4 linked regions of the Stegostoma tigrinum genome follow. The protein of the gene in region 3 purifies or fractionates together with the protein of the main gene of each other region. This does not show direct contact. Links are inferred from orthologs where the notes say so. Each region holds a gene or a part of one and is shown on either strand. Other genes may lie near its edges. The genes, in order: pkma, ezh2, ctnnb1 and siah1.

Region 1 (6,909 bases), on a different chromosome or scaffold from region 3:
AAGCTGTTGATTTCAACTGACTGCCAATTACAAACTAAATTAGATTTGAATGAAACAAGTATTAGCCATAGAGTCTCAGAGATATACAGCATGGAAACAGACCCTTCAGTCCAACTCATCCATGCCGACAAGATATCCTAAATTAATCTAATCCCATTTGCCAGCATTTGGCCCATATCTCTTTAAACCCTTCTTATTCTTATACCCACCCAGACGCCTTTTAAATGTTGGAATTGTGCCAACTTCAACCACTTCCGCAGGTAGTTCATTCCATACAAGCACCAATCTCTGCATGAAAAGATTACCCTTTAGGTCCCTTTTAAATCTTTCCCGTCTCACCTTAAACCTACGTCTTCTAAGTTTGGACTCCCCTACTCTAGGCAAAAGACCTTGACTATTCACCCTAACCATGCTCCTCCTGTTTATGTAAATTTTCTAAAGGTCACCCCCTCAGCTTCCAATGGTCCAGAGAAAACAGCCCCAGTTTATTCAGCGTCTCCCTATTGTTCAAACCCTCCAACCCTGGCAACACCCTTGTAAATCTTTTCTGCACACTTTCAAGTTTCACAACATCCTTCTTGTAGCAGGGAGGCCGGAAAAGAACACAATATTCCAAAAGTGGCCCAACAAATGCCCTGTACAGCCGCAATATGATGATATTTTCTTTTCCAAAAATTGTGCACACACTCAGTCCTAGTGACCAGAATTATTTTTTTTCCTTATTTTGATGGAATCTGTGCAATATTGGCAATGCCAGTGTTGGTTGCCCACAAGTAATTGCCTTTTGAGGGCTGTTAAGATTACTGTGTGTTTTGGAGTCATACATGAACCAGACCAGGTTAGGATGGCAGGCTTCGTTCTAGTTAGGTATTTGTGACAACTTATGGCAGTTTAATGGTCACTATCACTGAGACTATCTTTCATTTCAGTTTCTTTTCAAACAAATAAGATTACATTGGGTTACTGGTCCAGTGACATTACCACCGCCTCTCTCTGATGTGCATTTCACCAATTTCAGAAGGTAGAGAGAAACATTTTAATGAGACAAGACCACAACTGAATTGATATGATAACAAGGTGTGGAGCTGGATGAACACAGCAGGCCAGGCAGCATCTTGGCCTGCTGTGTTCATCCAGCTCCACACTTTGTTATCTTGGATTCTCCAGCATCTGCAGTTCCCATTATCTCTGAATTGATATGATGCTTTGTTTCAAAGGCAAGAAGTGAATGTTCAGAGTGTCATTCAAAATCAAACCTCACCTTGATTCTACTAAATACAGAAGTTTCTTCAAGAAAAACAAAATACATCATCTCTATTATCAAGCTCACTTAGTCCTTCTTGCTCAATGTTGCTGCTTCTGACCTCAGGCTGGGTAAATTTGCCTCCATAAAGCAATGTTTCCGACTAAGAATGAGCAGTTGAGCTTGATGGGTTTGAAGGATAGGAAGAGGGTGTATATGTTGGGGTTGTTTTCTCTGGACCATTGGAAGCTGAGGGGTGACCTTGTGGAAGTTTACATAATCATGAGGAGCATGGATAGGGCAATTAGTCAAGGTCTTTTTCCTAGTGTAGGGGAGTCCAAAACTAGAGGGCATAGGTTTAAGGTGAGAGGGGAAAGATTTAAAAGGGACCTAAGGAGCAACATTTTCACACAGTTTTACTCAACATTTTCTCAAGCTGCAATAAAACATTCTGCCACTGTATTCAAGGGTAAGGGTGCCCCACACAATTTCCTCCCTTCAATCAATGTCATTAACAATCTCCACCATCTGGTCATTACAATATAGTTGTTTGTGGGGTCTTGCTGTGCCCAGGGTTGGAGGGTTTGACCTATATGGATAAGCTGAATAAGAAGGGGCTATTTTCCCTGGAGCGTCTCAGGCTGAGAGGGTGACCTTATCGAGGCTTATACAGTCATGAGAGGCATAGGTAGAGTGAATAATCAAGGTCTTTTCCCCAGGGTAGGGAGGTCCAAAACTAGACGGCATTGGTTTAACGTGAGAGGCGAAAGATTTAAAAGGGACATAAGGGGCAAACTTTTCATGTTGAGAGTGGTACGTGAATGGAATAAGCTGCCAAAGGAGGTGGTGAAGACTGGTACAATTAGAACACTTAAACAACATCTGGATGGTGCATGAATAGAAGGCGTTAGAAGGATACGGGCACAATGCTGGCAAATGGGAGTAGATTAATTTAGGATATCTGGTTGGCACGGATGAGTTTGACCGAAGGGTCTGTTTCCATGCCGTACCTCTCTATGACTCCACATTGATTGCCATAGTTCCTATGTTGCAACAGAGGTTGCACTTCAGAAGCGCTTCATTGGTTTTAAAGCATATCAGGATAGTCTCGGTTATGGACAACTCCATACAAATGCAAGTCCATCTTTTCTACTCTTTGCTTTTAGCTCTTGCCTTTTGTCTGTCCAAGAATTACTGGGTTGCTAAAACCTACTGCACAAATCACAACACTTCTGGTCAGCTGTTAGCTCTTGTTCGTTCAATCATTTCACTGTTTGTGTTTTCTCTGACACATAACCTAAGGACTCAAAACTGTCATGAACACTAGAGGCACGTGGGAAAAATATGTATTTATAAAATCCACCTGACCCTTGTAAGAGGATAATGGTTTAACGATTAACCGAACACCATTATCCAGATGAAATAAATCTGTGCTTGTAATAATTTCCTAAATTTGAAGAACGATCAGTAGATACATATTGAAAATGTCTTTTTAAAATATATTGTCTAATATAAAAGTATAACATGACATTTCATAAGAATGAGCCATAAGATCTGAGAAGCAAATATTTGCCAATTAGAATTTATGTTGAAACAAACCTTTAAAGGGAATAAAAAATACTTTTTATATATTACAACAAAAGCTCAGCTTTTGAATTGTCACACATTAACATGGTACAGATATTTTGAAAAGGATATACATAGTCACGTTTACTGCTTTAGGCTTGTACTTACACTTTGGTATTACTTGCAGCATTGCCCATCACAGATGACCAGTTAGAGTAACTCTGCAATTTTTAAAGCTTTTGAAATATTAGTCACTTTTATACAGGAGAAAACCTCAAGATTCGGGCTGCTCTAACACCCATTAGAGATACATGAGGGCGGGGGAAACATTTGATTGGCATGCCTGTACAGCCAATAATTGTCAAAATCTTCAAGACTCTTGACTGACATTTTAAGCCACCAATAGATGGGCACAACCATTACAACCCTGCCCAATAAATAGGGTCAGAACTAGGAATTGCTAGAAAAAACTCAGTAGGTTTGTCAGTGTTTGTGAAGGGGAAATCTGAGTTAATGGTTCAGGTTAGTGATCCTTCCTCAGAATGCAACAAACAGGGTGCCTTGTCAGGTACATAGGCAATATTGGGGTTTTATACCAATTAGAATTGTATAGATACAAAAACAGAGTTTGCTAAAGAAACTCAGGAGGACTGGCAGCATTTATGGAGAGAAAGAACTGTTAATGTTTCAAATCCAATGACCCTTCAGAATGTTCTGGAATTGTGCAAAATAGACCTTAAGTAATAAAAACAGAAATTGCTGGAAAAGCTCAGTGGGTTGGTAGCATCTGTGGAGGAAAAATCAGAGTTAATGTTTCAGGTTGTGTGATCATTCCTCAGAACCTAAGTAATGACTGCAGGTTTGAATCAGCCCTGGTTAGTTGGGGGGGAAAAAAGTAATGTTACAATGATGTCAGGCCCTGTTTGCTGCTTCTGCTGGTGACTCATGCTGCAGGTTATGTTTAAAATTTGTTGATGGGATTATGTACGTGGGTGTTTGTTGCCTTTGAAATGAGGGAGCCATTTCAGAGGATGGTTCATAATAAATCACATTTCCATAGGTTTGGAGTAACTTGCACAAGGTGGTGGTAGTAGTAGCAGATTTCTTTCCTGAAAGAATCAGGTGGGCTTTGTTTTTTAATAACATTTGATGGTTGTTACAGTTGTTGCCATTATTTGACAATCATTCAATTGTAGGTATTAATAGTTAAATTTAGTTAAATAATTAATTTTGCAAGCTGCTGTGGTGGAAATTGAGCCTGTGACTTTAGAACATTAACCTCAATCTTTGGATTGATACTTCACTGATTATTACCACTACATCAGGCAATCACCTGAAGGTTGAAAGGGCTATGGGGACAGTGCAGGGAAGTGGAGTTGAAATGCCCATCAGCCATGATTTAAATGGTGGAGTGGGCTTGATGGGCCGAATGGCCTTACTTCCACTCCTATGTCTTTATGGTCTTATGAAATTGGTAGTGCTTACTATGTTTTCATTTCCCTGCTCTCTGTCAAACTCCATCTACCTTCAGGAGCCTCTGTTGTGTTTTTGATTTCTGATTATATTTTCTGTTCTTTATATTTTTCTTTTGAATACTAATCTGACTGGATTGGCCATTTGACCACCAGTCTTCAGCAAATTGATTTTGATAAATCAGCTTTGGTTTAATCACACTCTTAATATTTTAAACTATCAGAGAACTCAGGAATGACATTTGTTTAATGTGGTACAGGGGTGTAAACTTTCTAGCTGTCTGATCAAACTGTGATGAGGCTTTCAGAGCAAAATCTGCAACACTAGAAGAGAGAGTTTATTGGCAACTTGAGCTAAAAGTAGTCAAAACAAGTCAAAAGAAAAACTTGATCAACTTTCATGATTTTAGGATGCCCCAAAGGAACATACAGGCTAGGGTGAATTTTTGAAGAGCTGTTCCAGTAGAAGAGATGTGACAGCCAATTTGTACATAGGAAGCTCCACATGTAGCAGTTAAGGGCCTGGGTCAGGATTGAAACTGATAAAATCATAGAATCCTGACAGTGCATAAGCAGGCCATTTAACCCATCAGGTCTGCACTGACCCTCCCACCCATCTCACCACCCCCCCACCCCTTCCCTGTCTCTATAAACCCTATTTCGTATGGCTGAACCACCTAACCTGCACACCCCCAGACACTATGGGCAAATTAGCGTGGCCAATCCACCTAACCTGCACATCTTTGAATGGGTAGAATCTTTCAGTTTAACTTTAAATTAATGGAGTGTGATCATTATAAATCTAACAAGAACTTGGGATGGGCCTGTTTAATTTAATAGTTAAAAAATGGCAATTTCAAAAGTGCAGTGATCTCTTAGTGTGATTGTAAATGATTTACTCATGTTCCTAGACTGGGGCAAAACCCTAAAAAGTGAGAGAACTCGATGTGAAGCTGGATGAACACAACAGGCCAAGCAACATCAGAGAAGCAGGAAAGTTTGACATTTCTTCTGAAGGGTCTCAACCCGAAACGTCAAACTTTCCTGCTCCTCTGCTGCTTGGCTTGCTGCGTTCATCCAGCTTCACATCGTGTTATCTCAGATTCTCCAGCATCAGCAGTTCCTACTATCCTTAAAAATTAGGAATTGCTGAAGTGAGAGATAGTATTAAAAGTTTTTCATCTTACATTCATCAGGATAAAAGGACAATATTCAAGCCTTACAACTTATTTCGAATGTCCCTGTTGCTTGGGGAACCTCGAGTTACCCTACTGTTTTCCCCATGGTAACATTTTTGGCTAATGTCAATGTGCTGATTAATTAATTAACACCCCTGTCTCATCAGGTGTAAATTGTCATGATTATTCAAATTTTGGCATTCTTGCATTTGTTCTGATGGGTAAAACATGGAAAATAATGGTAACCTGTTTCTCTTTACAGCAAGATTTAAGGTTGATGCACCAAGAAACTCTGTGACCTGAAAGTCTTCTGACTCAAAGATTAAACATTACCAATGAGCTAGCCTGACACTTAGCTCACACACAGATGCGTGCACTAAATGTGGAGACAGGCATTCTCAGGGTCAAGTGACTCTCTCTCCAAATTCAACAATGAGAAAGAAAAAATAATAGCTCCAATCAGCAAGTTGAGAGCTGACCAGCGAGCTGCTTGTGAATTACTAACCTTCATACTGAAATCTCACCTCCACCAGAAAGAGCCAGACAATCAGAACCTGATGGCTTCTTGGCACTAGACAGCATCTCTCAAGGGCTATGCTTTAGGGGTTTAAATGGCAAGAAGTTATGTGCTTTGATTTCAGATCTGAGTATACCCACCATCCTGTGTTACCATCCTGTGTTTCCACCCTCCCCACCAAGACTGAGGCAAATAGAGTCTCTCTCCCCAGCCCAGAAGGAGGCCGGAGACGAAACCTGACATTCTTCTCATCTGCTGGAGAGGCAGATAATCAATCTAGTGGTGACACTTAACTGATCACATAAAAGCCTTCATTGTTTTTTGAGAAGGTTTGGGCGGCACGGTGGCTCAGTGGTTAGCACTGCTGCCTCACAGCGCCAGGGACCTGGGCTCAATTCCAGCCTTAGGTGACTATCTGTGTGGGGTTTGCACATTCTCCCCGTGTCTGTGTAGGTTTCCTCAAGGTGCTCGGGTTTCCTCCCACAGTCCAAAGATGTGCAGGGTAGGTGGATTGGCCATGCTAAATTGCCCATCGTGTTCAGGGAGGTGTAGATTAGGTGGGTTATAGGGGGTTGGGTCGAGGTGGGATGCTCTGAGGGTTGGTGTGGACTTGTTGCCACACTAGGGATTCTATGTTCTATATTGTAGCTCGGGCCACGGATGAGGTTGTAGGCTTGCTCGCCGAGCTGGTGTGTTTGATTGCTGATGTTTCAATATGCTGCTGGGTAACATCATCCGTGCACCTCTGGTGAAGCGTTGGTGTTCTGTCTTGGTTATTATTTGTATGCTTCAGTTTGCTGGGTTCGTCGGTGTTACTTCCGGTCAAGTTTTTCAGTGATTTGTACATCGGATCCAGTTCAATGTGTTTGTTGATGGGGTTGCATTTGGAATGCCAGGCCTTCAGGAATTCCCTGGCGTGTCTCTGTTTGACTT
Region 2 (6,846 bases), about 90 Mb from region 3:
AGTATGGACAGGTTGACCAAAAAGTCTGCTCCAGTGCTGTACAGCTCTACGAGTGTGAGGGACAGAATGTTTGTGTTGAATATTTTCTTGAAAATAACCTACCCAATGAGTATTAGTTTCAAGAGGCTCCTTGGAACTTTGTTATGGTGATCAGGAATGCAGTACCCACAAGACTGAGCTTATACCAGGAGTGTACACTGATCATTTCAGACTGAAATGAAGAGAAAAATCTTCACTCACTTGTGAAATTTTGGAATCATCTGCAACAATTACCACATAAGCCGTTTCTGTTTTGTTCACTGAAAGATAAACTGACCTGTATATTTTACATCACCCAAAAGAGTGAACAGTGTTTTATGTCATATTTGTTTTGCAAACTTCAAATGGAAACATCTTCTCCACACATATCCTGTCCAAACCACTCATGAATTTCAAAACATCTCAGATTTCCAAGTCATTTTTCCTGAAAAAAGTTCTCTGTTTAATCGATCACAAGAGCTGTAATCACCTAATCTTGCAGCATTGAAAATCATTTCCATACTTGTCCCAGTACTTTATGCCTTGCTCTAGATGTACTCCGTACTCAATACATAGATTTGTTTAATACCACTTCATGACTTAATTTAAATACTGCTACAAATAAATGGCACTGCTTTATCATTTCTAATAATTTTGACTGTCTTCAATGTTGCTTTTAATTATTTGTCTATTTCCATTCCTGGATTAATATGTTCCACTAACTTCTAATTTTCTAAAAACATAGGTAATGTTTTTCTTTTTCCGCCCCACAGGTTATACTTACTCAACTCATTTCAATATTAAAATTCACTTGTCATTTAACTTCCTAGTCTGCAGCTTGCATTTGTGCTCAGTGTCAGGTGTGCTCCCTTGGTGTCATTTGCAAATTGATCTAGAATCCCTTAATCTTAAAGCCAAATCATCAATATAAATTATGATGTTAGTCCTAGTGGTGATAGATGCAAAATACTTGTTCTGATCTCTACCCCTCTTTTCCAACCAGTTACTTACGTCCTGACCTCATGTCCCAAATTTCATTGGGTCTGTGTTCACCCTCTTGAAGGCCTAACGTGTACTGCATCTTTATAATTTGCAACAGAATGTTGACATTTATTGCAACCAGTTATGTACCTTTAATTTTTTCAGCTACAGCATGGATTTTCAAGGGCCACATGTGGCCATAGCTGAAAAAACTGAAAATGAATGCATGGCACACAGATTGGCACAGACAGATCCTCAGAACAAACATGCAGGCACTCAGCTCATAGGTTGCATTGGTAATGGGAACTGAATGTGAAAGGCAGTTTTACTGCAGCTTTTACTGCAGGGCCTTACTGAATCATCATCTGAACCACTGTGGAGCCTTCTGTTCCCTTTAATTGAGTGATATAATTGCATTCAAAGCAGTTCAGAGAAGGATGACTCAACTCAGGGAGAGGGTTTACACTATGGTGTAAAGGCTGCTGACCATCATCTTCTCAAGGGCAAACAGGCCAGCCAAGTACATCCTAGAAGAAAATTGACTCCCTTGTCATGGAACAGAGATGGTGGTGGCATCAATGACTCTGAAGCCAGATCGGTATTGATTTTAGTGAATGGCAAACAGGTTCAAAGGGCTAACCCTGTTCAGAAGTCCTAGGTTCCCACACACACCCTGTGCACTGTTAGAACTTCACTGAGGTAAGCACTCAGGCTGACCTCAGAGATAGTAGGAACTGTGATGTTGGAGTCTTAGATGTGAAGCTGAATGAACACAGCAGGCTAGGCAGCTTCAGAGCAGGGAAGCTGACGTTTCTGGTCTGGACCCTTCAGAAAAAAAAAAGACGGGTCCAGACCCTAAACGTCAGCTTCCCTGCTCCTCTGATGCTGCCTGGCCTGCTGTGTTCAGCCAGCTCCACATTTGATTACCTCCAGGCTGACCTCACTGTTCTGTTTCTTGACGTTATACCATTTTAAGTGTAGATTCGTGCAGCTCCCCATAACACTGACATCATATCGACTGGTTTCTCAATCCCAGATTTTGATTTTAGATCTCTTTCGTCATAATAGGGGAATGATACATCACGGGAGGCAATTCAGTTCATCATGTGTATGACTTCTCTGAAAGAACTACCAATTAGTCCCACTCCTCTGCTCTTTCGCTATAAGACATGCGTTTTTTTTAACCTCCTACTTGTTACATCCCACTTGATGACTCTAGGTTTTCTCATCACGCCGCTAAACGAGTTAATCACCATGCCCTAATTCCACTGCCAAGCGGAGGAAGGGCATCCCCCGGAGTAACTGAAGGGCGGAGAATTAGTAGGGAAGAAGGGGAGGGGGGGGCAGAAATCAACTTCCAATAGATAAAGTTTATCCCCCATTGGTCTGTTCAAACTCGGCAGCTGATAAAATTGGAGCCGACTGAAAACACTGAATCGCTCCCCGAGTGAATGACAAGATTAAAGAATGATTTACACAGTCTGATCGGATCAGGCCTTCAATCTGTCCCTTTATTTATGATTGGGAATTAAAGGAAACATGTTCCGGGGAATCCGGCGCTACACCCGCTGCCCCTCGGGGAGGGGGTCGGTGGGGGAAGGCTGGAACCTAACGTGGCGAGCGCGCGGATTCCAAACGCTTGGCCGCCAGCTCTGGCCGTTGGAATTCAAATTTCCGCCAGCCCAGGGCTTCCGCAGCCAACCGGACTGACGGAGACTTCTATTCTTGCCGCCTCTTCCTTACCTGGATGGAGAAGCAGAAGCTGATCCCTGCTGACCTCCTCCTTCTCTGCCGCTGTCAGCCGGGCTAACTTGGAGCCGAAACTTTGCGAGAGTTTTACTGGGTGAGTTTACAGCCGGGTTACGCGGGTGTCAGGACGGTGATCGGGCCGGCCGGCAGCCGTTACTCTCACGTCCTCGGCTGGGTGGCTGACTGCCTCTGTCTGTCCCGCTCGCACTCCGTCTCCGAGCTCTCACTCTTCTTTTCTTTCTCTCCTTTTGTCTTCGTTCTCCGCCCGGCTACACAGATAGGGCGCGAAAACAACGTGTCCAATCCAATCAAACTTTGCTGAAGCCTGCTAACAAACCCTTCTTGCATTGGGCGCAGGAGGCCCACTTTCCTCCAATCTGCATTAACCTCGCATGGGAGTGTGGGATGTGACCATGTGGTGCTTCTTTGTGGGGCTTTCAGGGGTGGTTTTTTTTATGTGCCCGTCGTTCTGGTAAACGTTGAGTAAGTCGCGCTCGTGGAACTTGGATCTGTCAGGACGGAGCTACATCGAGATGCGATGTCAAGGGATGACTCAAGCTATGCGGGTGTATCCTCCAATTGTAATGTGCGGGTTTCTATTTATAGTTCCTTGTTCCCCAGCCTGAAAATGAAGATTCCTGTCACCATTGGCTGCTTGGCACCGAGAGTTGCTGCTGTTGCATTTTCAGTTTTGAGCAAGTTCTACTAGTGAAAGGTTACTAACTTCACGTTCCGGATTCACTCTTATGTTTCAGATGGAGCTGGGCGTAACGATGCGAACATTTTCGCTTTCTCTTGAAACCATTTTCATTTTGTTTTTCCGCATCAGCCTAGACACCCCCGTGAATTGAGACTTTCCGGTCTGTCTTCTACTGGAAAGGCTGTATGTAGTCCAGACAATGAAAGGATCAAACTTGCTCGGGGTTCTGTCCACAGTAATAGTTTGACACTACATTCAAGTGAATTATGGTTATCTGTGAGAGGGATCTTGGCACGTGTAGAAGCAGATCCCTGCCAGGGTTACTACCTTCAGGAACAAAAAAAACTTAGATGCAGCTTAAAACGAACGAATATTTTGTCCGAAGTGCAACCATATTAAACAAGTTATTCAAAAATGTTTATGCGAACATCTATTTCTGTGCCTTTGTTGAATGTGCTTCAATATTTCACTGGGTTTAGTTAGGTGCTTTTCTGGTCATTCATTTATTCTACATCTCTAATTACCCTTGAGAGGTGGTAATGGGCTGCCTCCTTGCAATCCATGGAGTGCACCCACAGTAGGGGAGGTTGCCACAGAAGTCATTTGGCTGTAAGGAAGTTGCAGGGTTTCAAATAAAGAAATGGCAAAATAGTTTAATCAGGATGGTTTGTGGGTTGAAGCGAAACTTACAGATAGTGATGCTCCTAAGCATGTGTTGCACATTCCCTTTTAGATGGTAGAGGGTGCAGGTTTGGAAGGCGCAGTCAAAAGAACCTTGGTGAGTTGCTGAATGCATCTTGTAATTGGTGTACAATGTTGCCATGATCTGTCAGAGGTGAAGGGAATGAATGTTGAAAGTAGTGGATGATATACCAGTGAAGTATCCTTTGTTATGGATAGTGTCAAGCTTTTTGAGTTTTTGAGCTGTAGACATTAGGTAAACGGAGAGCATTCTATCACACTTCTGATTTGTGTCTTACAGAGGATGAACGGGTTTTATGGAATCAGGAATTGTGTTATTTGCTGAAGAATTCTTAGCCTCTGACCTGCCCTTGTCCAGCCACATCAATTCTGTGGCTAATAGTTCAGTTTTGTTCAATGGGAAGCTTGTGCTGGTAGTGGGGTTTCAACATGGTAATGTATTTGAAAGTCAAATGGAAATGATTAAATTCTCCCGTGGCCATTGATTGGCACTTGCATTACGTGAATGTTGCTGCGATTTGTCAGGCTTACTTATCACCTGAAGCATCAACATTGTCCAGGTCTTGCTGCTTGGGGATATGGATTCGTCAGTATCTGAGGAGTCACAAATGGTCCTGAACAATTCCCTTGTGTTAGGTAAGCCTCCAAACATAGAATGTTTTCCATATGATTCCCATTGATTCCATTTATGCTAGGGTTCCTTCACAGAATTGATGTTGCTGGACAAGGGCAGGTCAGAGGCTAAGAATTCTTCAGCAAATAACACAATTCCTGATTCCATAAAAGCCGTTCATCCTCTGTAAGACACAAATCAGAAGTGTGATAGAATGCTCTCCATTTACCTCATGTCTACAGCTCAAAAACTCAAAAAGCTTGACACTATCCATAACAAAGGATACTCAAATGCTGCCTTGATATCAAGGATCATCACTTTAACCTCACCTTCAGTTACCTTGTCGATGTTTAGACCAAGGATATGATGAGTTCCAGATCTGAGTGGAATTGAATGCAATGAGAAAATTTTTGCTGAGTAATTGGTACTTGATGACACTGTCAGCAACTCCTTTGGTCACCTTGCTGATGAGGCAGTCATTGGACTTGCCCTGCTTTTTGCATATACCGTACAGGACGTGCCTAGGCAATTATTACATATTGCTGGTTTGATGCTAGTTTTATAGCTAAATGGGAACAGTTTGGCTCGGGGCATAGCTAATTCTGGAGGACACAACTTCAGTACTGTTGCCAAAATGTTATCATGGTCCAGCACTTTTAGCCGTTTCTTAATATGTGGAGTGAATTGAAGTCGATAAAGCATGGTATTTGTGATGCTAGAAATCTTAGGAGAAGGCTGAGGTGGATCATCCATTCAGCATTTCTGAATGAAGATTGATGCAAATGCTTCAGCCTTGTTTTTAGTCCTGAATGTACTGGTCTTCTCTTCCAACACTGAGGGTGGGATATGAGGCTATCTGAGATAGAAGCAGGTTATTTGGCTGATTGAGTCTGTTCCACCATGCAATTAAGATTGATTTGATAATCCTCAGCCTTGAATATACTTAACAACACAACTTTCTCAGCCTTCTGTTGTAAAGGTTTGCACAGATTTACTGTCTTCTGAGAGGGGGAAAAAACCTTCTCTATCCTAACTGGGAAACCCCTTACTCTGAGATTATCCCCTCTGGTCCTAGACAAGGGTATACAACTTCTTTGTCAAGACCCCTAAGAATCTTAGTTTGGTCATTAGTGTGCTGTTGTGCCACTTTGGTGATTTATGTTGAAATACCTAACCCAGAATGCATTCTTTCCCCTTGCCATGTTCTCCCAATTGGTGTGCAACATGAAAGAGAACTGATTCATCAGTTGAGGGAAGGGGAATTAGTGTGAGGTAATCAGCAGGATGTTTTCTTGCCAATGTTTGGCCTGATAGCATTAAACTTTGTGGGGTTCAGAGTCAATTTTGAAGACTGCCGAAACATTTCCCTCCTGACTGTACCATTCTGCCACCACCTCTGGGTGGTTCCGTCATGTCAACAGGGCAGAATATTCTGAGCTGATTATGGCAATGTCTGAGAAATAATCACGCTTGCAGAATCATACCTGCAGATAATGTGATCTCTCAATTTTGGCACAAGCCCCCAAATATTTGTAAGGATTACTTCACAGGGCTGAGTTTGCTTTGTTTCCAGTGCCGAGATCAATACCAGGTGGTCTGTTCAGTTTCATTTCTTTCTTGAGACTTCATTGTGGCTTGGTACAACTGAGTGGCTTGCGAGGCCATTTTAGAGGGCATTTAAGAGTCAACCATGTTGCTTGCAGGTCCTTAGTCACAAGTTGACCAGATCAGGTAACGATGGCAGATATCCTTCCCTGAGAATGTTAGTTAACCAGATGGATTTTTAGGATAGTAAACAGTGGTTTCTTGGTTACCATTAATCTAAGTTTAAATTACAGTTTATTTTTGCAAACAATTTGCTTATTTTCTTATTATTTACTCCCATTCATTCTCTCTCTCTCTCGCGCTCGAGGACAATATTATTTTATTGTTCGTTATTGTTTACCCAGCAAACAATGTGGATTCTTGTATTCAGTACAAGCTTAAAACTGAAGTATAAGGATATAAAGAGAACTCCCTTGAATCTCGTTTCTCCATGTAGTTTTGTGAAGCACATCAAGATATTTAAGTACATAAATGGTGC
Region 3 (8,006 bases):
CATGCTGACTATGTATCTTAAATTAATATAGTCCCATTTGCCAGCATCTGGACCATTTCCCTTTAAATCCTTCCTATTCATGGACCCATCTTGAGGTGAGATTCAAATCTGGAGTTTCCAGCTCTGAGGCAATGACACTACACATTGCATTGGCTAATTTGTCCTCCTTGATTTTCTTACAGAAATCTAAAATGCCATTGTTTAGCTTCAAACATTGATCAGTTAGGAGGGAACTTGTACATTCCTTGAATGAAAATTTGATATATGGGCATTGTATACATATTTATTTTTGTGAGTTTATGTTCAAAATTATTCCTGGTCAGGACATAAACTGTTGAAATTCCTAATACATCAATAATTCTATTTCCAGATGAATTATGTTACTCTGACTCAGACAGCCCCAATGTGAGAAAACAGAATGTCTGGAAAAATAATTTTCAAACTGTCAGTTTATTTCATTGCTGATGGAACTCCCTTATAATAATGAAGGATCATCTTGGCATAAAAATCATTATCGATTTACAGCTTTAGTTGTTCCAGAATTCTTTCTTACCGTGAAATTATTTTGTCTCTGATTGGTTGTTCTTGCTGTATTCATATACATATAGTTTGATAATTATCAATTGTCTAACAGGAATAATCATTGGAATCAATGATTATCTATTCCTTCCACTCCTATGAAAAGTTTACAGGCTCTGAGGGGGCCTAATGCAAAAAAATTGTCCCTTCTTATTGAGAAGAAAAAAGATTTTCAGGAGACAATAGTTTTGCATTTAAATGGCACATCATCAGTGAGTTTCCATGTGTTTTAAAAGTCAGTTGACTGTGTTTGTTAAAACATTGAAAAGAATGGAGTGTTGTTTTTGCAATTTGCAGCAATGATCGAAGCAGTAAGTTCTTTCACTGTTCATGTTGCCGTATGTGTTAGATGGTGAGAAATCTGGGATTTGCACTTTGGCTAGCATTGAACAGTTTTTTCATGATGTCTTTGCAGTGATCATGAGGATCAATGACGTGCCAAGTCTAACTCTATTTGTTCCAGACCATAAGCTCTTACTTGGATCAAAACCAAGAATCAAGAACTTTCTAAAAATTCATTCATGGCATGTGGATGTCGCTGGCTAAGTCAGTATTTATTGCCCATTCCTAAGAGTCAACCACATTGCTGTCGGTCTAGAGTCACATGTAGGCCATAGTAGGTAAGGATGACAGTTTCCTTCCCAAAAGGACATTAGTGAACCAGATGGGCTTTTCCAACCATTGACAAGATTTTCATGATCATCACTGGACTGTTGATTCCATCTGCTATGGAAGAATTTAAACTCGGGTCCCAAAATGTTGCCTGGGTCTCTGGATTAATAGTCTAGTGCCATTCTGCCCCCATTATATATTTATAACGCACCTCTCAAACGGTGAAACACCTCAATGTACTTTACAGGCACAATACAGGAAAAAGATTTTGCAGCAAGTAATGTAAATCCTAAGAACATGAGAATTATAATTGGCAGTAGGCCATTCAGCCCAGTAAATCTATACCACCATTCAATATGATCATGGCTCAGCTGATTGCAGCCTTTGACAAGATGACAAAAAGATTGCCAAAAAGGTAGGCTTTTTGAGGAGCATTTTGAAGAAAAGAAAAAGGAGAAGAGAGGTAGAGGGTTTCAAGGAAGGATTTCAGAGTTTAGGACATTTGCAGATGAAGGCACAGCTACCCATGGTGATACGTTTAAATTTGGTATTCTCAAGAGGTCACAATATCAATGAAATCTGTACCATAAGGCACTGACACATATTATATAGTGAGGATGCTGCAATCAAAAGACTTAAATTCATGTTTCGGGGCAGGAAGTATCAAGTACTGGTTGACAGAAGTACTCTGGCTTGCATGTTACATGTGTTGAGTTGCAGGTCTTAATAATGCTTCAATTGGGCAGTAACACATAAGATCTAAGTAATTCCATATGAAATTAAGTACCAGAGAGCTAGTTATATTGTGCAGATATCAACTGCCTTCTAATGCCTGGAAATTAAGTGGTATTGGCAATAATCAGCAAATAGTTATTGAGGACATGCAAAAAACAGGTGAGAAAAAAAAGGACAGAAAAAAGGGTTACAAAAATGACTTTAAGAAAAGGTACAATATATGTACCACAGGATTCCAGAATGTCATCCAACCTGTTAAACTTATTTGAGTTTGTATCACAATCCCATATGCTGCCACTGGCGAAGGAGCAGTGCTCCAAAAGTTTGTGATTGCAAATAAACTTGTTGAACTAAACTATAAGTTGGTGTCATGCGACTTTTGACTTTGTCCACCCCAGTCCAATACGCATATTGACATCTTCCAATGGCGAGCTGTGTTCGATTGAGGTCATGCCTCAGATAAAGATGCTGCTGGGTCACAGGATCAGGCAGTCACTCCCATGATATCATGTTTGAGTTGAATTACAGCAAAATAAAGCTCAACCAACCAATCAGTGAGTGGCTGCACAATGACACTCAAATGTGATGGGTACTAATAGATGATTCTGTTTATGAAATCAGACAGTGGTTACCTAGACAATGATTAACTATCAAAGTATACAGTTAAATAAAATATGTGAAAATGCTGGGAATATATCTCAACGTCAGGCAGCTGTTCTTTTTATTTGTTCAACAGCACATGTGGGAGCCATTGGTTACATCAGCATATGTTGCCCATCCATAATTGCCATGGAAAAACTGAGAGTGTGCTGCCCTCATGAGCTCCTGCTGTTCTCATGGTGTAGGGATATAAACATAAGAAGGAACAAGAGTAGGCCACTTGGCCCGTTGAGCCTGTTCCCCCATTCAATAAGATCATGGCTGATCTGATTTTAACCACAACTCTTCGTTCCCGCATATCCCATCGATAATTTTGAACCCCTCAGGAATCAAGAATCTGTCTACTTCTGCTTTAAAAATATTTAAAGATTCTGCATCCACTGTGTTTTGAGGAAGGGAATTCCAAAGATTCTCAATCCTCGGGGAGAATTTTTTCCATATCACTGATTTAAAGGGGTGACCATTCACTTTTAAACTGTGACCTCTTATTCTAGGTTCCCTTACAAGAGATTCACATGATATCCACCTGCTCAAGGCCCCTCAGAAGGATCTTCTGTGCTTCAATGAAGTCCCTTTGACTCTTCTAAACTCCTGACAACACAGGCCTAACCTTTCCTCATAAGGCTATCTGTTCATTCCAGTTATTAGTCGAGTAAATCTTTCCTGCACAGTTTCCAATACATTAACATCCTTCTGTAAGTATGTTGACCAGTACTTATACCATAATTTGGATGCAGTCTCACTAAAGTCCTCTATAACTGAAACATAACCTCCCTAATGTTGCATTAAATTTCCCTCAAAATAAAACATAATATTCTATTAGTTTTCCTAACCATTTGCTGTACCTTTGTACCAACCCTCCTTGATTCATGCACAAGCACGCAGACCTCTCTGCATCTCAGAGCGGTGCAACCTCTCACCAGTTAGATAATATGCATTTTTTTTGCTGTTTCTGCCAAAATGGATAATTTCCCACTTTGCCACATTATACTCGTTACCAGTTCTTTTGTCCACTCACTTAACCTATCTGTATTGCTTTGTAAGATCACCACAGTACATGCTACACAACCGTGACACAATTTTGACTGCTGTATTCTTCATTTACTACACTTCACAAGTATTTCATTGACTGATTTTTAAAAATGTCTTGAGCATAAGAACCTTCTGAATGTAAAAATATAATTGCATATTATATGTAACACTTTTCGCTAATAATACGCCAGATGCCGTCTTCACCAATAAGAATTACAAATCTCACATAATTCAAGGCTTAAATACTTCATTTGGGGTTCCATTTCATGGATAGTGTGGTTACTTTACATTTGCACAGCTTGAAGCTAACGTTTATAAATAAATGATGCAGTTCCGAAGGTTATAAATCATAATTGATTTAGCTTTGTTTTCTTTTTAGATTGAGCCAGGAAGATTCATGTGGGAAGTAAGTGGGAATAGAAAAATTACTTTTGCAAATAAAAGACCACATTGTTCTAGCCTTATTTTTAGGATCGGTTTTGCTTTCGGTAATCCAACCAGGCTGCGACTTAAGTATTTTTGCACACTGGAATACTTTTTCCACTAATGCTGCAGCATTTTTCCTTTGTGTGGGATGCCTAGAAGTGAACTTTGTACATCTCTACTTCCGTGAATTTCAATGAATTTTGGGTGAGTTCATTACTTTTTGAAATGCTTAACTCGTACGTGTTACAACCAAAATAACTCTTGAGGCTCGCTCTCCTCCCCGACGAAAGAAAATGGTGCGGGTTTCTTTTTATCCCCACGCTTCGTCTTTTGTGTTTGCAAAACTCGGGTCTTTGAAGTTAACTGTTTACTTTAGAAAGTTAAAAACTCAATCGCGAAGAATGCAAGTTTGGTGGGAAAGGGAGGGGAGAAATTTATTGCAATTCTGGCCCCAATGCAGAAACGTATATGAAATTCACGAACATAAAAGTCCAAATAAATAAAAGGATGTTATGCATATGGTGGAAAGTCTCATTGCAGCTGCAAAAATAAAGTTGCTTCGCTGAGCTGCTACTCGCTGCCTCTGTGGTTCCAGCGATCCTTGACCACAAGGTGTTGTGGCTACGGCACCTAGCCAGTATCCTTCCGCGACGTTCCGGGCCTGGGTAAGGGAGCAGTAGAAAAGAAATGGGGGTGGGCATAGGCAAAAATAGGTTTTATCAACAGTCACAAATCAGATCAAACATAACCCAACTCTAGACTGTGCTGTAAAATTTTAAGTTTGACATAGGTTTATGCGTTGTCTGCGTGTGATAAAGGCCGGAGAAGGGTTAAGTTATTGTTATTTTAATTATAAACACCCCCCTTTTCACCTTCCTTCTGCCAGGTGTGGGCTGGAAAATTACGCACTACATTCCGCAGGCGGAGGGGCACGCACCGTGTCGCTGCCACTTTATAAAGAGACGTTGCTGCCGGTCGCCATTTTGATTGGAGTCGCTGGCAGCGGCGGTTGTTGGAAAGCGGGAGACGGAGGAGGAGGAGTGTAAGAGAGTGAGTGTATGTGAAAGGGAAAAGTGGGGCGTGGGAGAGAGAGATGGTGGTGGGCAGAGCTGATAGCGGGGCGACCCGGAGGAAGAGCGAAGACATTTATTAAAAATACGTAAAGAAGTTAAGAGTTCACCGTCACCCCCGCGATCACTCTCGAAGCCGCGGAGAGGAGTTGGAGTGGCCGCTGCTTCCCGACTTTAGAGGTGCCCGTCCTTCAGCGACGGTGGGTGAGAAAGAGCCCGGCCTTCTCCGGCCCTTCCCTTGGGAGAGGGGGTGGATTAGAGGTTGTTCTCGAGGTGGTGAGTGAGGAGGGACTGAGTTTCCAGATCCTCCCGCTTTCAGAATTAAAAGATCGAAAAGTCGATTAACTCCCGAACAACGTGGCATCGGGGGAAGGGCGGGTGTTTATTATCAGGAGAAAAGGGGGTTGGAGTTTACCCCAGAGAGGGGGCAGGAGAAAGAGGGGTTTAAAACCGTGGGTGATTGGGAGGGGAGGGGGGGCTAGAGAGAGAGAGAGGAGGGTGTATCTTCTCCCCCGGAGGGAGAGCAGAGGGGAGCTTCCAACCCTCTGGGGGAGGGGGGGCACCTTTACCCTCATGGGGGGGAGAGAACCCTCAGAACTGGAAGGAATTTCTCCCCCCCCCCCAGAAAGGGGGCAACTGGAGAGGGCTTTACCCCAAATCGGGGGAGGGGATGGGGGTTCAACTGGAGAGTGGAGACAAGTTAGGTGTGAGGATGCTTAACCTGTTGGAGGAAGAATTGAAAAGGTGGTCTTTAATCTGAGGGGCTTAAGTAGGGAAAATTTACCCCAGTAGGGGGCAGAAGTGAGATGGAGGTTGTTTACCCTGAGGGGGTGGGAGACAGTTTGTAACCATGGAGCTTTGTGCTAATTACTGTGGGAAGGGGCAGAAATTGTGTTCCCGGGCTGGGGGAAAGAGAGCGAGAGAGATACGATCGTTACCCTGAATGTGTTTTTAAATCCCAACGTGGATGTGGTGGGATGGGTTTCTACTTTGGTGGAGGGCAGGTGTTTGCATCTCCAGTCTGGACAGGGAGATGGGAGGGTGTTCCTACTTGGCTTAAGAAGTTTGGAAGCAGAGGGGCCAGTGTTTTCCCGGCTTCATGGCTACAAGACTGGGCTACAAAGGTTGTAGAGTTAACTCTTTACCACAGGTTGTAAAAGTGCATCTGTAAATTATAGGAGTGTGGGAAAGTGAATGCCTTAACTGGGTGAAATTACAAAGTGGGTTTCCATTGGTGAAGTGATTTTGTTTTCTAAATTGGCAGCATGCAGCTTAACACCCAAACTTTGAGTGTGCAAGTATATGCTGAGATGGTTGAGAAATTGCCTGGAATCCTGAGCTGTATTTGGTGAAAATTGATGAAATGGGACAAAACTTGCTCATTAACAACCAAATGAGTAGGTGACTCATACAGCAGTCTGGGATTTGCATTTTGAGATTTTTGCTGATAAATGCTTTATCATAGGCAAATAGATCTGTTTTTACACTAGTATGTAATTTTTAAGCAGTGGATTATCTATTAACCTCAATGAGGAAAGGCGCATACATGCACAAATTCATTTTGATAAATTTAGAGCAAGTTTAAACTATCTATTTTCTTCCAGTGTCTTGTTGTGATATGGGCTTTTGCTGCATGTTTCATGTTCTGAGGATACCATTTGCAGAGTACATAAGTTTAGTGTGGCCACGACTGTGACAATTGTGGGTTATCTTTCTAGTCTCTTTCCTACATTCTGCTTCTGTGAATTGTTGATTTACATGTCAGATCTGTTGTCTGCATGTTGTGTGTATGTAAATCTCAAATCTTCGTATCGATAGTTACACATCTGTATTCATTGTAGTTGGTTTCTGAGTATTTTCATGGTTTGCAAGTTTGTTTTCCCTCTGTACAGTGCATTAATTACAGTTTCAAATGAAAGTTGGGATTTCATGTAGAAGCAGGAATCTTGTACTGTTGGTAGACTTGGATGTTAAGTTGAGGCACTTCCATTTTGAGTGGAAAGAGAAACATGATGGTGTAGTATCAAACAATTTGTTTGAAATTTCATTATGTATTTAACTTAGAAAATAAAATGTGAAGTGTTTAGGACCAACTGGTTTTTCCTATGTGACTGACCAGATGTTTTTAGCACACGATAATATGTATTGACAGTAGTGTACATCTTCTGGGAAAATGGATACAAAGTCAGAATTCCATCTCTGAAATCCAGTTCTAGTATCTCATAATAAGAACAAAATTTTCAGTAGTCACAAAAGATCTGTGGTCACGATTTGAGGTTTGTATTGCAATACATGCTTTGCATTTTAAACTATTGGCTAAACTTAAAGGCTGTTCTGTTTATTTATGGGCTTCATGTATTTTGGTGTCATTGGACTTGGTGACTTGTAACTGCTTTATTTTATACTATTATGAGCATGACAATTCATTCAGTGGATGTTGCATTCCAATTACTGATTTCTTTTATTGCTGTCTGATTATGAAATTGAGAAAGCTGTTGAAAATGACTTTTTTTTGAAAAATTAGTGTTCTCATAGTTTCACCAGAAGTGGTGATGCTGCATGAATTTCATTGTTCTGGTATATGTTGTACATTTTATTGCAGCTGTTTTGTTTGCACTAAACAGTGCAGCAGAAAGAAATTTAAAGATGTTAAGTTAGCATTTGTATTTTGATAATTATACCCTTTATCTCTCCTTTCGTGAACATTGTGGCTCCAGTTGGACTGTGGTTTGAAGGCTGCTGGCCACCAATCATCACAGTACTGCACTGGATTACTCTATAATTGTAAACAATAGGGGGAGCAGAGAAGGATTTATCAGTTGCACTAACCCCTCCCTGTGCATATGAAAAGCAAGCTGGAGTCCTCGACTGCCCTGTTTTGCTTCCTTGTGA
Region 4 (7,016 bases), on a different chromosome or scaffold from region 3:
TTGATGCCTTGAATGCAGGTGAGGGGGGAGGTGTAGGGGCAGGTGTAGCACTTCCTGCGGTCGTAGAGAAAGATGCCAGGGGTGGTGGAGCTAGTGGGGAGTGTGGAGCAAATGAGAGAGTCATGGAGAGAGTGGTCCTGACAAAAGGCAGAGGGGGGTGGGGAGGGAAATATTTCTTTGGTTGTGGGGTCAGACTGTAGGTGGCGGAAGTGGCAGAGAATGAGACATTGGATACCGAGGTTAGTGGGGTGATATGTGAGGACAATGGGGTTTTTGTCTTTGTATTTGTTGGGGAGAGGGAATGTGAGGGCAGTGGTGCAGGAAACGCAAGAGTTGCAGTCGACAGCATTTTCAACCACCGACCAGGTAAGTTGCAGTCCTTGAAATAAAAAGACATCTGGGATCTTCAGGAGTGGAACACCCCATCTTGGGAGCAGACGCGGCGGAGACCCAATTCCTTCCAACCCTCCCTCTCATTCCACCTCCTTGACCTGACACGACCTGTCCATCTTCTCTCCCACCTATCCGCTCCTCCCACCTCACTGACCAATCCCCATCACTCCCTACCTGCACTCACCTATCACCATCTCACCTACCTTCCCCAGCCCTACTCCTCCTCTCTCTATTTATTTGAGCTCCCTTCCCCCTCCCCCATTTCTGAAGATGGGTCCTGGCCCAAAACGTCAACTTTCCTGCTCCTCTGTTGCTGCCTATCCTGCTGTATTCCTCCAGCTCCACACTGTGTTATCTCTGACTCCAGCATCGGCTATCCTTCCTACCTCCGAGTGAGATACACCCAGACAGGTGACGCTAGTTAAGGATGATGTGGACACTTTATTGGGAGACACTGGTCTCATGGTATTGTTCCTAGGCTAGTAGTCCAGAGGGCCCCAGACTAATGCCCTGACAACATGGGTTCAAACCTCACTATGGAAGATAAAACATCTGAATGCAATAAAAACTGTCATGAAAAACCTGTCTGGTTCACTAATGCCCTTTGATGCAGGAAATCTGACATCCCATAGCAATGTGGTTGGTTCTTAACTGTACTCTGAGCAATAAATACTGTAACAGCCAACATCCCATGAACAAATACAAAAATAAAATTCAGTACTAATAAAACAATAGACCAAATTTTCAGAGAACTGGCAATCACTTGTAGATTGCCACTTTGGCCCTTCTTTAGTGAAAAAACAATTTCACATTTCTGAGAGGAGATTCTAATCAGGACTCCTTCTGAAATGCAGACCTGTTCTTCTATTCCCGCCCCTGCCACAACCGCCCCCAGAGGATCCCCCTCGTTCTCACATACCACCCCACCAACCTCCGGATACAACGCATCATCCTCCAACACTTCCGCCATCTACAATCCGACCCCAACACCCAAGCTATTTTTCCATCCCCACCCTTGTCTGCCTTCTGGAGAGGCCACTCTCTCCACGACTCCCTTGTCCGCTCCACACTCCCCTCCAACCCCACCACACCCAGCACCTTCCCCTGCAAACGCAGGAAGTGCTACACTTGCCCCCACACCTCCTCCCTCACCCCTATCCCAGGCCCCAAGATGACCTTCAATGTCAAGCAGAGGTTCACCTGCATATCTGCCAATGTGGTATATTGTATTCATTGTACCTGGTGTGGCTTCCTCTACATTGGGGAAACCAAGCGGAGGCTTGGGGACCGCGTTGCAGAACACCTCCGCTCGGTTCGCAACAAACAACTGCACTTCCCAGTCGCGAACCATTTTAACTCCCCCTCCCATTCCTCAGACAACATGTCCAACATGGGCCTCCTGCAGTGCCACAATGATGCCACCTGAAGGTTGCAAGAACAGCAACTCATATTCCGCTTGGGAACCCTGCAGCCCAATGGTATCAATGTGGACTTCACCAGCTTCAAAATCTCCCCTTCCCCCACTGCATCCCAAAACCAGCCCAGTTCTTCCTCTCCCCCCACTGCATCCCAAAGCCAGCCCAGCTCGTCCCCTCCCCCCACTGCATCCCAAAACCAGCCCAGCCTGTCTTCGCTTCCCTAACCTGTTCTTCCTCTCACCCATCCCTTCCTCCCACCTCAAGCCGCACCTCCATTTCCTACCTACCACCTCATCCCGCCTCCTTGACCTGTCCATCTTCCCTGGACTGACCTATCCCCTCCCTACCTCCTCACCTATACCCTCCTCTCTACGTATCTTCTTTACTCTCCATCTTCAGTCCGCCTGCCCCTCTCTCCCTATTTATTCCAGTTCCCTCTACCCATCCCCCTCTCTAATGAAGGGTCTAGGCCCGAAACGTCAGCTAGTGTGCTCCTGAGACGCTGTTTGGCCTGCTGTGTTCATCCAGCTCCACACTTTGTTATCTTGGATTCTCCAGCATCTGCAGTTCCCATTATCACTGTACTTTTATTCTGTCAGTTCTTCTGTGCTGCAAAACTGTCACAGGAAGGAAATCCATGCTCCCTTTTCCTACCAGCCAGCTGCTGCATTCTGAGATTTAAAGGTCCAGACAGTGACTTTGGAAGCTGCTGTTAAATAGTGAATACATCAGATTAGAATAGGGTTATGGTGCTGGGAGTCAATGGTGACAGATAGGTAGGGGTTTAGAATGCTAGTATGCCAGACAGGAATGGTGCCACAAAAGTAGAATGGTAGAATGCCAGTTGTGGAATGGTGGAATGCCAGCGATTAGGGTGCCAGATAGTTAGTGGTGGGTTCCAATGCTTCAGGTAAATAGGATGGATCAGATGCCTGCTAGGAAGAGGTGGGATATTAGATGGGAAGGGGTTGGATGCTTGAGTTCGGTTGCCAGATGAGTAGGTGTTAGGTTGGCAGGCAGGTAGATTGTTGGGTATATGAAGCGCCTGCTGGGTAGGGAAGATGCCTAGCAGTAAGATGTCAGATGCATACGGATGGAGTGCAAGGTGCATAGGGTGCTAGCTGGGGAAATGGTACAGTGACACACATAAAATGCCTGAGCGGGATGGACTGTGGATGAGGAGGGGTAAGCTGCAAGGTAAGTAGGGTGCCAAGTGGGAACATGTCTGGAATTTGGCCAGGGGGCCAGGTCAGTGCTACAGTCTCGAGGGTACGGTGAGGAGGGTGGATGTCAGTTCTGGTGGGTTCAGGTCCAATGGCAGAATCTCCCTGCGTAACTCCCGTCTACGATGAAAATACAATTCTTTGGCCATCAGAAAAGCTGGCCTAACACCCTTTTGATTAAGCCCAGAAAAGCTTCTTAAAAGGGGTAGAAATTAAAATATAAAGAGTTACAAGTTGGTAATTTTTTTGCCATCAGTTAAAGACAATTTGTTTGCAAAATCTAAACGTTTTCTTGTTAAGTAGTTAGTTAAATGTAAAGTTATGGTTAAATACCAGTTTTAATCCTTTGTATTTCCCTCATCCCAACTTTCCCTGAAAATGGGTGACATGGCTGGTTTAGTGGTTAGCAGTGCTGCTTCATAGTGGCAGAGACCCAGGTTTGATTCCACCCACAAGTGACATTGTGGAGTTTGCACATTCTCCGTCTTTGCGTAGGTTTCCTCCGGGTGCTCCAGTTCACCCTCCCGCCCCCCAAAGGTCCAAAGATGTGCAGGTTAGGTGATTAGCCGTGGGAAATATGGGGTTACAGGGATAATATGGGTACGTCTGGATGACATGCTCTTCGAATGGTAGGTATGGACTTGATGGACCAAATGGCCTACTCCACACTGTCGGGATTCTGTGGTACAATACCTTATGAGTATTTTCATTTTACTTGGGTTTGCAATCAAATTAAATGGGGACCCTGGAGAGTTTAATTAATCTTTCTGTGAAGACTCCGGCAGAAGTGAGGTTTGATTTCCAATGCACTGCATTAGCGTGCCATAAAAACTATTTATTATATGTTACTATTAAATTTTGCCCGACATGGTAATCCTAGCTTTGACCAATCTTATCGTCCATGTATGTTCTGGTCCCTCCCATAATGTGGTGTTTTACTCAGTGATGTGTACCTCGGTGACAACAAGGTTGGTCTCAGCTCCTTCAGCACTTCCATCACTGACACGCCAGTTCACAGTCTTGGTCGTTGTCGTCACCGTCTGTGGACCAGGCTCGCGCGGGCTCTGGCTATTGCCGCTGATTGGCCCACCCACTGGAATAATTAGGCGCGCTGCGCAAGGGCAGGTGAGCGCGTTGTGGGGAGCTCGAGCGCGGCCGTTTGGTGCCGCCGCGCGGGAGCAGGAGGCGGGTGGTGGAGGCTGACAGTGGCGGGGGGGGGGGGGGAAAGAAAAGAGAAAGGAGCCGCTGGCCCACCTCGCGTCTGGAGTCGGCAGCGGGTCAGCCTTTGATCCATCTGTCCAGAGAGAGCAGGAGAGTGGGCAAGGAGTGCGACGCACACAATAAGCAGCGACGTATCTGGGTGCGACTCGAGTTTGCATTTTAACGCCGGTGAGTACAGTCAGAAATCGGACCTTTTAAAGTCGCCATAAGGCAGTGAGGTGGGAATCGAGAAGGGGAAGCTCTCTGTTCGCTGGGGAGGGCCATTGCGGCCAGAGTTAGTGCCGATGTTGCATGACTAGGGCAAGCCAGTCCGCCCTCCTGCTGCTTTGTCGTGTTTTATTCGGAAGGCTTAGGGCTCCTGGCCTTTGGCGGAGGCTGCAGTGGGAGCGGATTGTGTTGATTGTTTGTGCGGGAGAGGCCGCCGGCATGGCGAGATTTTAGTAGGCCGCGGCCCTCTGCTCGCTCTCCTACTCGCTATTGTTAGAAATGGCTGGGCTGTCCAGTTCGCTGGCGTTTTAATTTATTATTTACTCATTCCGACCTCGCATTGTTTAGAGCTACCCCTGCGAATGTGTCTCCTAACGCAGTTTTCTGAACGATCGCCAAGTCTTTGCGTTTCCGATCTGGTTACTTCCACCGTATTCTCTCAGCAGCTTTTATTTTTAGTTATTGTTTGTAGTAACACAGCGGGAAGGTAAACAAAAATGTTGGTTCTGGATTGTGATCCAGTACGTTTAGTCTTCTGTTATGTTTGATGCAATGGAAATGTGTGCAGGAGGGGGAAACTCCAACCACTGCGTCTTTGTTCCATGTTGACAATCGCTTTGCTGATAATATAATTTGCCACCGATCACGAGGTCTCAATCTGGTACAGTAGCTTCTGAAGCTATTCTCCAGTTAATTCGTGTGAATCTTTTCGTAGTCTGTAATAATACAGGCAGCCCCAACACTACGTATACGTTGACGTCTTTTAGATGTAGCAGGTGCAAACTAGGCCTGCTATAAAAGGATTTTCCAACAATATATTTTTCTTTTCACCTTGCCCCAATTGTAACTTTTAAACGCAACGTCTGTGTCGGAGTGTTATTTGGTTGCTTAGTCACTGCTGGGATTGAAGTATCTGGAGTAACCAGGTAAAGCACTTAAACATTGAAAAATTGTGTTGTAATGTAAATGGTGGGGCAGTGGTGATAAGGAAGGAGACGATAAGGCTGGCTTAGTATTTGGAAAAGTGAAAAATTGGCCTTTTTGGTAGGAATGCCCTGTCACTAGTTTACTGAATAGGTTTTTCCCCTCATCCTTCTAGCAGAGGATTACCTTTTTGGCCTAAATAAACCATACTTTCTTGTCCACCACTTCCTTTCACGGTTTCTGCACTTGACAACTTAATGCTTATTTCTGTCAAATTAATATGGAGGAATTGGTCAGTTCAGTTGGTTGAATGGCTGGTTTGCAATGTAGAGTGACACCAACATAAGCTCAGTTCTTCCACTGGCTGGAATTGCCATGAAGGATGCTACTTTTCAACCTCTTTCCCCTTTCCTGATGTGTGGTGATCCTTGAGTTAAACCACTGAGTCATCTCAGTAGTCTGTGGTCTTGTCATCTCATGATACTGAGGCAGTCCATGTTCAAATGCAATAAGACATGCACAATAGTGTGGGGTACGGAGTTGGTGTTACTGTTGATCAGAACCTCAACTAGACTGTCTTTGTCTTTTTTAAAATAAAAAAGACTGACTACAAAAGCAGCCCAAGCTAGGAATTTGGCAATGAGGAACTCATTCCCTGACTCCAAAGCCTGCCCATCATCTACAAAGCACAATTCAGTAGCATATTGGAATACTCCCCACTTGCTCGTGGGAGTATGACTCCAACAAAGTTCAAGAAACTTAAAGCCATCCAGTACAAATCAGCTCACTTGACTTGCCAGAGAACCTTAGACCACTTCCATCTAGATAGACGGGGGCAGTAGATATGTGAGCGTACCACCTGCAAGTTCCCCATTCTGATTTGGAAACATGTCGCTCAGTCAAATCCTTAGAATTACTTCCCTCATTGACATTGTGGACCTACTTAAAGCACCTCGCCATCATCTTCTCATGGGTTTCTAGGGATGGGCAATAAATGGTGGTCGATCCATGATGACTGTCATGTGAATTTTCTTTTAAAAACAAAAACTATGGCAACTTTATCTTTTTTAGTGTTGCAAAGAAGCACCTTCTATTGTTTCAACAGGCTGAAAGATCAGGTCTGCAGTCTCTGGGCCATTTTTATACTTAAATTTATTTCCTTGTGGGATTTGGGCATTGCTGGCTGGCCAGCATTTATTGCCTGTCCCAATTTGCCCTTGGGCAACTCGGGTTCTCTGGAAGGTACTTGTCCTTTCTACGCAAGTGTAATACCTGTCTCTTTCTTTTCTCACCACTCCCCAATGTTCAAAATACTCATGGTATAGACAGTAATTTACTTGGGCATCTTGCAACCTTGTAAACTCTGTTCACTGCTCAGTATGGTTTCCTCCACTGTAAAGAGACCAAAAGCAAGTTGAATAGCAGCTTTGCTGATCACTACCTGATCATGTTTCAGGTGCCAAGTGCTACCACTTTAATTCTGTATCCCACTTTGACCTGGGATTAGACTTATCAACCTCTTTTATATAACCACGTAACATTGGTAAGACCTCCTGACTGCTCTGAATAGTTTTGGTGGCTTTTATTTAAGGAGGGATATACTTACTTGGCTGGTTCTCTAGGGATGAAG

The links.
Region 1: the proteins of ctnnb1 (region 3) and pkma purify together in Homo sapiens (affinity purification with western blotting; 5 studies listed by BioGRID and IntAct, with this or other methods). This does not show direct contact. The link is inferred for Stegostoma tigrinum from reciprocal best matches to the Homo sapiens genes CTNNB1 and PKM.
Region 2: the proteins of ctnnb1 (region 3) and ezh2 purify together in Homo sapiens (affinity purification with western blotting; 4 studies listed by BioGRID, with this or other methods). This does not show direct contact. The link is inferred for Stegostoma tigrinum from reciprocal best matches to the Homo sapiens genes CTNNB1 and EZH2.
Region 4: the proteins of ctnnb1 (region 3) and siah1 purify together in Homo sapiens (affinity purification with western blotting; 4 studies listed by BioGRID). This does not show direct contact. The link is inferred for Stegostoma tigrinum from reciprocal best matches to the Homo sapiens genes CTNNB1 and SIAH1.

The regions. Positions count from the first base shown.
Region 1 is NC_081389.1:14,446,854-14,453,762, forward strand, and holds the start of pkma (pyruvate kinase PKM), read right to left. Parts: upstream 3,022-6,909; 5' UTR 3,007-3,021; coding exon 2,978-3,006; intron 1-2,977. UniProt on the Homo sapiens protein: Catalyzes the final rate-limiting step of glycolysis by mediating the transfer of a phosphoryl group from phosphoenolpyruvate (PEP) to ADP, generating ATP.
Region 2 is NC_081355.1:98,007,358-98,014,203, reverse strand, and holds the start of ezh2 (histone-lysine N-methyltransferase EZH2), read right to left. Parts: upstream 3,027-6,846; 5' UTR 2,743-3,026; intron 1-2,742. UniProt on the Homo sapiens protein: Polycomb group (PcG) protein. Catalytic subunit of the PRC2/EED-EZH2 complex, which methylates 'Lys-9' (H3K9me) and 'Lys-27' (H3K27me) of histone H3, leading to transcriptional repression of the affected target gene.
Region 3 is NC_081355.1:8,430,133-8,438,138, forward strand, and holds the start of ctnnb1 (catenin beta-1), read left to right. Parts: upstream 1-4,983; 5' UTR 4,984-5,094; exon of another isoform or gene 5,095-5,100; intron 5,101-5,184; exon of another isoform or gene 5,185-5,314; intron 5,315-8,006. UniProt on the Homo sapiens protein: Key downstream component of the canonical Wnt signaling pathway.
Region 4 is NC_081369.1:29,622,286-29,629,301, forward strand, and holds the start of siah1 (E3 ubiquitin-protein ligase Siah1), read left to right. Parts: upstream 1-3,993; 5' UTR 3,994-4,423; intron 4,424-7,016. UniProt on the Homo sapiens protein: E3 ubiquitin-protein ligase that mediates ubiquitination and subsequent proteasomal degradation of target proteins.